2 linked regions of the Arabidopsis thaliana genome follow. The protein of the gene in region 2 interacts with the protein of the main gene of each other region in a biochemical or structural test. Each region holds a gene or a part of one and is shown on either strand. Other genes may lie near its edges.

The links. Proteins that work in one complex are often made in the same cells at the same time.
Region 1: of the proteins of RAC2 (region 2) and ROPGEF1, one has a biochemical effect on the other in vitro, tested with the Arabidopsis thaliana proteins (one study listed by BioGRID).

Annotation. Positions count from the first base shown.
Region 1 is NC_003075.7:17,984,664-17,989,554, reverse strand, and holds ROPGEF1 (rho guanyl-nucleotide exchange factor 1), read right to left. Parts: upstream 3,172-4,891; 5' UTR 2,913-3,171; coding exon 2,645-2,912; intron 2,558-2,644; coding exon 2,441-2,557; intron 2,355-2,440; coding exon 1,834-2,354; intron 1,722-1,833; coding exon 1,368-1,721; intron 1,283-1,367; coding exon 896-1,282; 3' UTR 686-895; downstream 1-685. Other genes in the region: IYO (RPAP1-like, carboxy-terminal protein), read right to left, coding at 1-78, 267-440; sks9 (SKU5 similar 9), read right to left, coding at 4,382-4,591, 4,671-4,749, 4,850-4,891. UniProt on the Arabidopsis thaliana protein: Guanine-nucleotide exchange factor (GEF) that acts as an activator of Rop (Rho of plants) GTPases by promoting the exchange of GDP for GTP. Acts downstream of PRK2 in the control of polarized pollen tube growth by activating ARAC11/ROP1.
Region 2 is NC_003076.8:18,641,646-18,646,611, reverse strand, and holds RAC2 (RAC-like 2), read right to left. Parts: upstream 3,073-4,966; 5' UTR 2,852-3,072; coding exon 2,753-2,851; intron 2,432-2,752; coding exon 2,344-2,431; intron 2,259-2,343; coding exon 2,149-2,258; intron 2,029-2,148; coding exon 1,965-2,028; intron 1,377-1,964; coding exon 1,312-1,376; intron 1,234-1,311; coding exon 1,168-1,233; intron 968-1,167; coding exon 854-967; 3' UTR 636-853; downstream 1-635. UniProt on the Arabidopsis thaliana protein: Inactive GDP-bound Rho GTPases reside in the cytosol, are found in a complex with Rho GDP-dissociation inhibitors (Rho GDIs), and are released from the GDI protein in order to translocate to membranes upon activation.

The DNA.
Region 1 (4,891 bases), on a different chromosome or scaffold from region 2:
TTCTTCTGCTTCTTCTTCTTCCTGATCGTCATTGTAATCCTTAGGTTGTGCTATGCTGCTTCCCACAGGAGCCAAATGCTACAAAATCAAACATGAGAAACAAAAATTAGATGTCTCAGAAAGCTGAATTACAAGGTCAGGCACGGTGAAAAATTGTGGAGTCCCAAGTACTAAACAACAGTAGAAGGTGCTTAAAATCTAGAAGAAGGCAACAAAAGGAAGATGGAAACCTAAAAAGCACGCACTAGAGGATTGGATTGGCTTACGGGTCCGTGAGAACGATGACGAGCGACGGGGAAGGAAAGAAGGGAGGGCCTTGGGGGAAGCGGCTTGCTTGGAGGCTTATTCTCCGATATTCCTTTCTCCACGATGCTCCCGACAAGGCTCGCCAAGACGTTGTTCGGCTGTTCCGGATTGACTCTCCCGCTACTTTGCTCCATCACTCTAAACCCTCTCTCGCCTCCGCTCAGCAAAACGGAAAACTCTTTAAAACTCCGTGTCGTCCCGATAGCTTATAAGAACAAGTAAAAAATAACAAGAAAACCCCTTTCTGACTTTTTAATTATAAAATTGGAACATCAACTTTAATCCTGTGCAAAACAAACCATATAGTCATAGTCTATATTTGAACCAAAAGTTGTCGCTTTAGTGCAATGAAGAACATGATTAAATCACTCAAGAGACGGGTATGTGATGTTCATTCAGTTTTAGGACTTGGACCATAATCTTTGTAAACTTGGTAAATGAGCTAAGGAATTGATTTGTTAACAACATTTCAAAACTCCACATAAGATAACATTCTTGTTGCTATTACCACATTCGTCTTCGTAGTCAGACAAACAAGAAACAACTACAGTCTCTACAACCATTGATTTACATTCTTCTATTTTCAATCTTAATCTCTTTCCGGCGTCACTCCCGTTACTCTTCTTGAACTCAGATTCCCTGCATACGACCATGCTTTCTCTGTTTCTCCCACTATTCCCTTCTCTCTCGTCCCATTCCTCTTCACTGAATACAGCGGCGGTGCTCTCCTCGGGCTTCTTGATGCTACACTTAGGGCAGGCGTTGCAAATGGTGAACCGTGCGGAGAGCTCTGCACAGAGAACGCTTTTTGAGGGTTGAGTCCATTGATGCTGAATAGGGATAGCGATTCTGTGACAGAGATGGATCTTCTCATGGCATCATCAACATAAAGCACATCATCTATTCTGGCCGTGATGTTGAAGGCCATGCTCTCCATCACCCTAGAGTAACTCTCCAGAATTGATTGCCCTACATCCTGCAAGAACACACACAAACTCTTAAATTATCTAAGCATCGTTTCATGATGCAACCAGCAAAGCACACTCCAAACTATAATGTACCTTGTTGTACTGAATCTTGTTCATGTCCAGCGTTGTCTGGGGAAGTCCCGGGAAACGGATCCTGAGACTCTGCAAGAGGGTCTCGGCTCTCTGCACAAGGAAATCATTTCTTTCGTTGTCATTAACAAGGCCTTTAACCTTGCCACCCCAAGAAGACAGCTTTAGTTTCGCCTGCTTCTTGTGCCTCCTCCCATTCTTTTGTCTCCAAACATGCACAGCCGCCTCAATCCGGTTGGCGATTTCAAGAGTCTGATGTTCCGATGAGAGATCAAGACAGTCCAGGAGGCATTCGGGAGAGAACTTGTTTGCAGTTAAGTACTGGTAGATGATCTCTCCAAGACATTCCTTCCCGCTCTGCATTAAGTTTAAAATCATAACTCAATGAGCTAATCACATATAACGGTAAAAGAATTTATGCTCCAGCAGCAATGAAAAAGCTAATCCTTGAGCTCGAGAAGGCGCATACCTTGGGCAAAGTCTCCAAGTAAGGGTCGGGAATCTCCATTTCGGCAAGCACGCCACTGTTAATTGCCAATGCAGCCTTGAGAATCTGGTTAGCAAAGTCCCGACACTGCTGCAGTTTCTTCCTGGCCTCTTCTGACAAACCGTTAGGCGGAACCTTAGGGCAAGGCAGCCACCACTTGTCCTCCTGCCTAACGGAAGCTGGAGAATTGTAAGAATCCTTGTCACAATCACCAAGAACTATGCCGCGATCAGTGTACCAGAACTCAGTATCGGAGAAAGCGTCAAGCATATCGATCAACATAGCATCGAGCTTCTTGAGAGCAGGGAGATTGGCATAGAGATCAGAACGTGGACGGGTCTCCATGATCTCATAAGTTCCGCCTCCAGGGAACTGCTGAATGGAAGGAATGAGCTCAACGATAGAATCGCTAACACAGAGCAGCCACTCAAGTTCTCTGCGCCACATGGCCTTCTTCTGAGGAGCAAGAGGCTCAAGCCTCCATAGTTCGCCAAACACAGTCGCTGTGTGGACACTAGCCTTATTAAAAAACTAGAAACCCCTACTATATATACCAACTAACAAAAAGGGAAGAAGATTGAGATGGTACCAGAGAGATTGGTGATGGCGTTGGAGATAGCAAGCGCCGTACAAACCCCTTTACCTCCACCAGACATGTCTTCCCCGAGAAGTAGCTTAGCAAATCTCTCCTTCATCATCTCAATTTCTGAAACCCAATAGGAAACAAAAGGGAAATTGAATCCTAGTGTTCATCAATGTTTACAAAAGAGGTCAAATTTGGAAACTTTTATACCGGATAAATCGTTGTCTGGTTGTTTGTCATCCCAGACCACATCTTTGCCGCCGATCACCGGAAGCATGACTGGGGCCGGGAAGTAAAATCCTCTACCAGCGACAACTCGAGGGGAAGAAGGGATGGAGCTAGAGGCACCCTCGCCGTCGAAGCGGTGGCAGGAGAAGCTGCTGGAACTCTCGGACTCGCTAATGTCGGCGCTGGGACTGTAACTTCCGCATCTCTCGGAAGAGACTTCGTCGTCTTCCTCAGAAGATAAGCTCCCCATTATTGAAGCGGCAGAGATCTAATAACGGCTCAAAGAGTCCACATTTGGGTTAAGAGACAGACAGAGAAAGGAAGAAGAAGGAAGTGGATGTGATGATGATGCTTGTTTGATAAAAAGCAAAGCTCAGAGAGAAAGAGAGAGAGAGATGAGAGATAACAAATAAAAAAGACTCCTTTCATTTCCTCACTCACACTCTCTCTCTTCTTTTCTCTCCCATCCATCCATACTCACGGCGTTATCCTCTGCCGTTAGGGACAGGTATGAGGTTGGTAACAGATAAACCGTTAACTCACGGTCGTCACATTTTTTAACGGCGAGATTAAATTATATCCCACGGCCGTTCTCATAAGAGGAGCATGCGCTTGTGTTATATCAACCGTTGGATATTAAAAGTGAACCATCAGGATCTTTTCTACAGAGCAGAATTGAGAATCTCGAAGCGACCGAGAAAATAAAGAAAGGCTGACATTGTGTGGACTAGAAGTATTCCTTGTCGGATCATCAGACTCTCTCGTACCACACCGGCCTGAACTACGTTGCACCATATCTATCCTCGTGATTTTACGCCACGTGTATTACGCCCATTCGCCTGATCTACACTGTCCATAGTATTCTGGCGTCATTAAAGTATTCACATCGTACGGTCTAGATTGCGTTTGGCTTACTTATTTCGTGGATTCCGCTGTTTTCGGTTATGGTTTTTTCACGCAACGAATCTAAGCCGTTGATTATATTACTCTTCTTAATTCAATTCATTAAAGTACCTATTTAATGCCCTTTGAATTCGGGTTAATATAGTAATCTACAATATTAATGTCACTGATCACTAGAATATGCTATGGATTGGTGTTGATTCACATGCATGGCTTAATTAGTTGACTCTCTGCTCTTTTTTTTTCTTCTCTAAAAGGCTTTTAACCTTCCAAATAAACGTTTGTTTGTCTTGGCATTATTAGCAAATCTTTTCCATTGCCATGTTTTTCATTCGATTGACAGCCTTGTAATTTGTAATTGCAAGGTCAACAAAAACTTTGACCAAATAGAACAACTTTCTATACCAATAAACATTCTACATCTACCGGTGGATAATAATTTAAATTTTTATTTCATCGTTAAAGTCTGTTTATTCGAAATTAATGTTTCTAATATGTTATGTATGGTTTTTTTTTTTTTTTAATTTACTCTCTCTCTTCAAACTATACTATTTTGCTTGGTGATATGGTAGAGTTACTTGGTTGATTCATATGAAAACATTGCATTTGCCTACAAAAATTAACTTCAAACTTAGCAATAACCGTTACAAAACAGTAAAATTTTCATCAAATTTGGGTATACATTACAATTTTTGAAGTATATATAATAATTGTGCAACATATATCTAGCTATTGAAATTATAAAGAATAAAGAACTCAATATAATAAAATACATATCCCTAAATCAGCCATTGACGATTGGTCTGAGTAGAGTCATTAAGGAGTGGTGTGTTTATTGGAGGCTCGGCCACACAACAAAGCATTCTTAGGCAAAAGATATTCATCTCTAAGAGAGTGTGTTGGAGAATAAACTCGAAGGTAGAATTGTTGACCCAAGTATTGCCTCGCCCAATATTCACTCCTTAGATTCCACATCCCCACATTGTCCAGTGCCACATATACGGCTGTCCAAGATTCTGGATATACCTACAACAACCAAATACTAGTTTTGAGATGATTTTTTAAAATTTTTGGTAAGATATATGGAGTTAGAAACTATTTGTACCTGAGTGGTGGAGCGAGAAATAGCATCCCTAAGATTATACTCTCGTCTGCTTGCTTTTGACCATGTTCCTCTATCCGTCCTGTGGACAGTACTCACAAACATCAGATGCATGCAATGCATTATTACTAGCTACTATATATAGAGGACGATAGATATAGCTAATCTTTAATTATTCTCACCCAACAACCCAAAAACTATATCCATCGAGGTGGTAGCTTTGG
Region 2 (4,966 bases):
GGTTTTCTTTAATTGTAGAGTATATGATGAAGATGGTACTGAACCATCATACTCTTCAATGAAAGAGCCTCCTATCTAGCAAACAACGTTCTCTCAGTTCTTATTGTGGACTACCCCAATGTATAAAACTTTGTGTGTTATGGTATAGGTATGCTAGCTTTTGAAATCTTTTCTGAAACAGCTGAGTTTTTGCAAGGAAATGGTACCATTTTTTAACATTGAACGTAAGAGCCCTTGAGTTCTATTTTTCCCAGAAGATAGATTACTTAAAGGACAAGATCCAGCCTCAAAGTAAGACGGGTAATTAAGGTATTATAAGTGCATAAGTATATTTTGCTCAGGTTATACATTGGACATATATAAGAACTGGAGCATGAACGTCACATTTGTTTATGTCTTACTCATGTAGAAAGAGTGTAAGGAGTTTCAAGTGAGGATTAATACAATTTTCTTATCAATAAATTGAATCCACATTTTTTTAGCCAAAATTTTAAACTTGAAATTTTATTTTTCAAAGACGAAAATCTCATATTATTGATTCAAACTTGTATCCATAATTTTTTCATCAAAAAACATTACTCTTTAATTTTTTTTGCTAAAAACTAGAATTCGCAAATTGTCACCAAAAAGCGTGATTCCACAATTTATGGGGAAAAAATATCAATCCTCAATTTTCTTGCCAAATTACTACTATTTTACAAATTTCTCCCGAATAATGGTAACATGATTCGACAATACTCTCGCCAATAACGTGATGAAGCAAAGTCCACTATTTCAAGTAGAAAATATTCAAAAAAATATCAAAATACAAGTATATATAAATGTTTGTTATTTATTGAAATCTGTTCAGATATTATAGGAAAAAGCATATTCTTGATCTCTTAGTCTTCAATGGTTTTATCTTTTTCTTTGCCTTTGGTGGCCTCAAAGCTACCCTTATCGCTGTATCAAACACTGCCTTCACATTCTATTAAACATTCACAAACAAAAAACTTTTTCAGTTTATTTAATTTAACTTCATTAAGTATTTCAATTTACTATATATATATATATATATATATATATATATATTTGTGGATTCAAATTATTAGTATGAAAATTTTGGCAAAAAAACATTTGGAGCTGCACTCTAAGTACCTAAATACATGTTGAATTTACTCTAAGTACCTGTTGGGTTTTGGAGCTGCACTCTAAGTACCTAACAGCTCCAATCATTTTCCTTAATTCTTCTCCCTGTTACTCAAATCCATTCATAATTGTTTATGAATTTATTTTTGTATAGATTATTTTTTAAAGATTTGTGTATGGTACCTGAGCAGTTGTTATAGAAGCTGCTCCTGGATGATCCTTCAAGAACTGCTTGTCATCCCTCAAATCTATATTCATTTTTGTGTAACATTATTGTTTTGAATAAAAAGATATTATCAATAACACAAGAGATACCATAAATCAAATGGAGAAATGTATTAGCTTTTTCAATATAAGTTGTTGAATAAATGTTAAATTGGGCCACTATTCATGATGCCATTAACGATCCAAGTGGCTATATCTTCCTACATTTGAACATTTTTCTGCTATTAGATGAAAATCTAACTGTTTTTATACAACTATCGAATTTGAAAATGTTATTCTTTTTTCACATGTTTTTCATTAAAACTGTAGCATAACAGAACAAATAATATAATTTACTGGCCTGAATTAATTAGGTAATTTTTCAAAATACATTTACTATAGGTGTTATTTTCTAAATAACATATTATTTAGTGATATCTCAATATTATTCAGAGTGAAAGAGAGTGTATTACTATTTGACGAAAAAGTAGCTTCTTGTAGAATTTTTTTCTTTCTTTTGCAAATGAAAAACGTATGATCTGCGGATTATTACTCAAGACCATATCTAATTTGACACAAATGTTGATAAATTAAGTTTCTTTATGAACTCATAAGGGGAAAGTTTTCGTTACCTAATTTTGTTCCGACGAGCACAATGGGGATGCCAGGAGCATAATGTTTCAGCTCCGGAAGCCACTATTAATCACCAGATTAATTAATCAGTCAGTGTCAACAAATTTTTCTAGAAATACTTTATCATATAATCATAGTTTCTTATCTATAAAAAAAAACGGATGGAAAAACTTTTAAAGTTACCTTTTTGTGAATATTCTCGTAACTGGCCTTGCTTATAAGGGAAAATGCTAATAAGAAGACATCTGCTCCTCTGTAACTCAAAGGCCTAAGCCTATTATAATCTTCCTGACCTGTAATTCCACAATAATAACTTTTATCGTAACTAGCATTCATTAATAATCAGTTTTAGTATAATCAAGTAATCATACGGCGTACCGGCAGTATCCCACAGGCCAAGGTTCACGGTACTCCCGTCGACCACCACATTTGCGCTGAAGTTGTCGAAAACTGTTGGAACATAATCCTGTAAATTAGATAGTTAAATCATTTATATATCAAAAAACATACATTAAACCATGTTTCTTAAGTAAACAGATAGCAAAAATCCAGAAGCATGGGTTTGAATTCAGCTTTAGATATATTTCACGTTAATGATTCTAGGAAAAATATGCTTAAACGGATATGGAAATATAAACGCAAAAGATGAAACTAGGCTCTTATTAATTTGCCATGAACAACGTTTAAAATGAGCAAAGATCTCAGGAGCCTAACATAAATATCTTAAAACATCAATTTGAAAATATATCTGGATATATATCAAGTTTGCTAAGAAATTAAAAGTTACCGTAGGAAACGTATTGCTGGTATATGAAATGAGCATACAAGTCTTTCCCACTGCTCCATCTCCGACAGTCACACACTTAATGAATCTTGCTGTGCTCATTTTCTTTGCTTTTGTCTTCAATTTCTTTTATTTTTTTATGTTTATGAATTTTGTGAATGTGTTTGGGTTTTATGTTCAGAAGAGAAGAGAAGTGGTGGAAGGTTCTTAAGAAGCTTTTGTGATGATTATAGTTGTTTATTGGTAAGGAGGATGTCTCTGTTACAACTTTCATTGATCATTATTAGTTGCTTATTCGTAAGGGAAGGAAATTTGAAGCAAACATACTGAAACAAATACCAAATTAAAGAACTGGTTTTGTATATCATCATATATAATAAACCGAGTAAACCAAACAACTCCTCACTGAAACAATTGAATTATAATCTTCTTAAATAAATACAAATATTAAAATCATGTATTGAAAATAGTTAAATTTTATTATTACATGTACTCACTAATTTGTATTTCTTTCCAAATTTGATCTGACTTTTCTAACCAGGTCCAAAGCAAAATGATATTTAGCAGAATCGAAACAAATTTTACCAAAAAGCTGAAATATTGTTCACCTTTTGCCTTTCATATATTGGTTTGATATTTTTAGTTTAATTAAATTAATGAGTTAAAATGATTAGGAATTGAGTATTTCTTTAACTTCAAGTGCAAGATCATGCGGTCACCGAAAGTGATGTAGCCGTTTGGTGTTGGTTGTGAGTGGGTTTTTAAGTGTTGGAGAAGGAACTCTCATCTTACTTTCTCTAGTGTTTTTACATTTTCTTATAAAATCTTTTTCTTCAATATTTTATGTTTTGCCTTATTTGATTCATTTTAACAACATTCAATAATGACATGAATTGGCTTACATATTACGATTTTTTTAGTGTGTTCAAAAATACAATTTCCATCTGTCTTCTTCGTCACCTCACAGTTTTTTTGACGTCATCCAACACTTTTGTTTTACGTTATCCAACAATTTTCTTTTAAAGAGTATTATGCATGAAACTCTCATGCAGATATACGATGATTTATAATACTTTCTGAAATATGAATGATCAAACATTCATGGCGAATCCAAAAATACTTTTTTGGGACGTAAATAAAGTTTTTCTTCGAGGGGAATATATAAATAAAGGCAAATTTTTTAACTCAAATACAAATTACACTATTTATCAAAAACTGAATCAATGTATGTCCCCATATATAATGTTGATATTTACTTTCTTTAAAACCTTATTATAACATTTTTTATTATTATTATAATAACGTAGCTACTGTTACCTGAGTTTATAGAAGTACAGTTTGGTGCTTCAAGTAGTATCATACGTAAATCACTTCAAATATAAGTTACCAGTAAATTAGAGGTTATACTGCGTAGAGCAAAAGTTTAGGAGCACTAATGTAGTGAAAGTCTTTCTTTCCTAACAATTGAATTTGTGTGTCTCTTCCTCATTATGCATTTTTTATATAAAATTTTCCATTGATTTAAAATAGAGCATAATATTAATAATATTGTACTGTTCATACATTTTAAAATGGGATAAATGAAAAAATAGTCAATTTTTCAAACATATTTAGAAAACTAGTTATTTTACTATTCACAATTTGCAAAGTAGTCACTTTTCACTGTTTGATTTGTACATTTAAATTTGTACAACACTTTTAGTATACAGATGTAAGTGTACGCTGTGTATATCTATATACATATGTATACTAAAAGTATTGTACAAATCTAAATGTACAAATCAAACAGTGAAAAGTGACTTTTTTATAAATTGTGACTAGTAAAATGACTAATTTTCTAAATATGTTCTGAAAACTGACTAGTTTGCTAATTCAGGTCGATAATAGATAAAAACTTATCAAAATAAGCCCACTAAAAGCCTCAACTTGAACCTAGAAGTATCCAAAGAAGAAGAGCCCAATAAGCCTCAAGTATCTCATCTTGAGATGTAACTTGTAAGAGCAATCATCGACTTCTCCTTGATAGATCAGATTAACAAAAGGAAAATTAGAGTTGAACCATTCACTGAGCTAGCTGATTATAAGATCAGAGTGACGAGACTCTAGCTTGATCTCTCAACAAATCTTTTTTTATCCCTATTACTGGTTCCATTGTATAATCGAATAAAACAGGTTGACAAAAAAAATGCTATATAATAAAATAAACTAAGTAGTTTA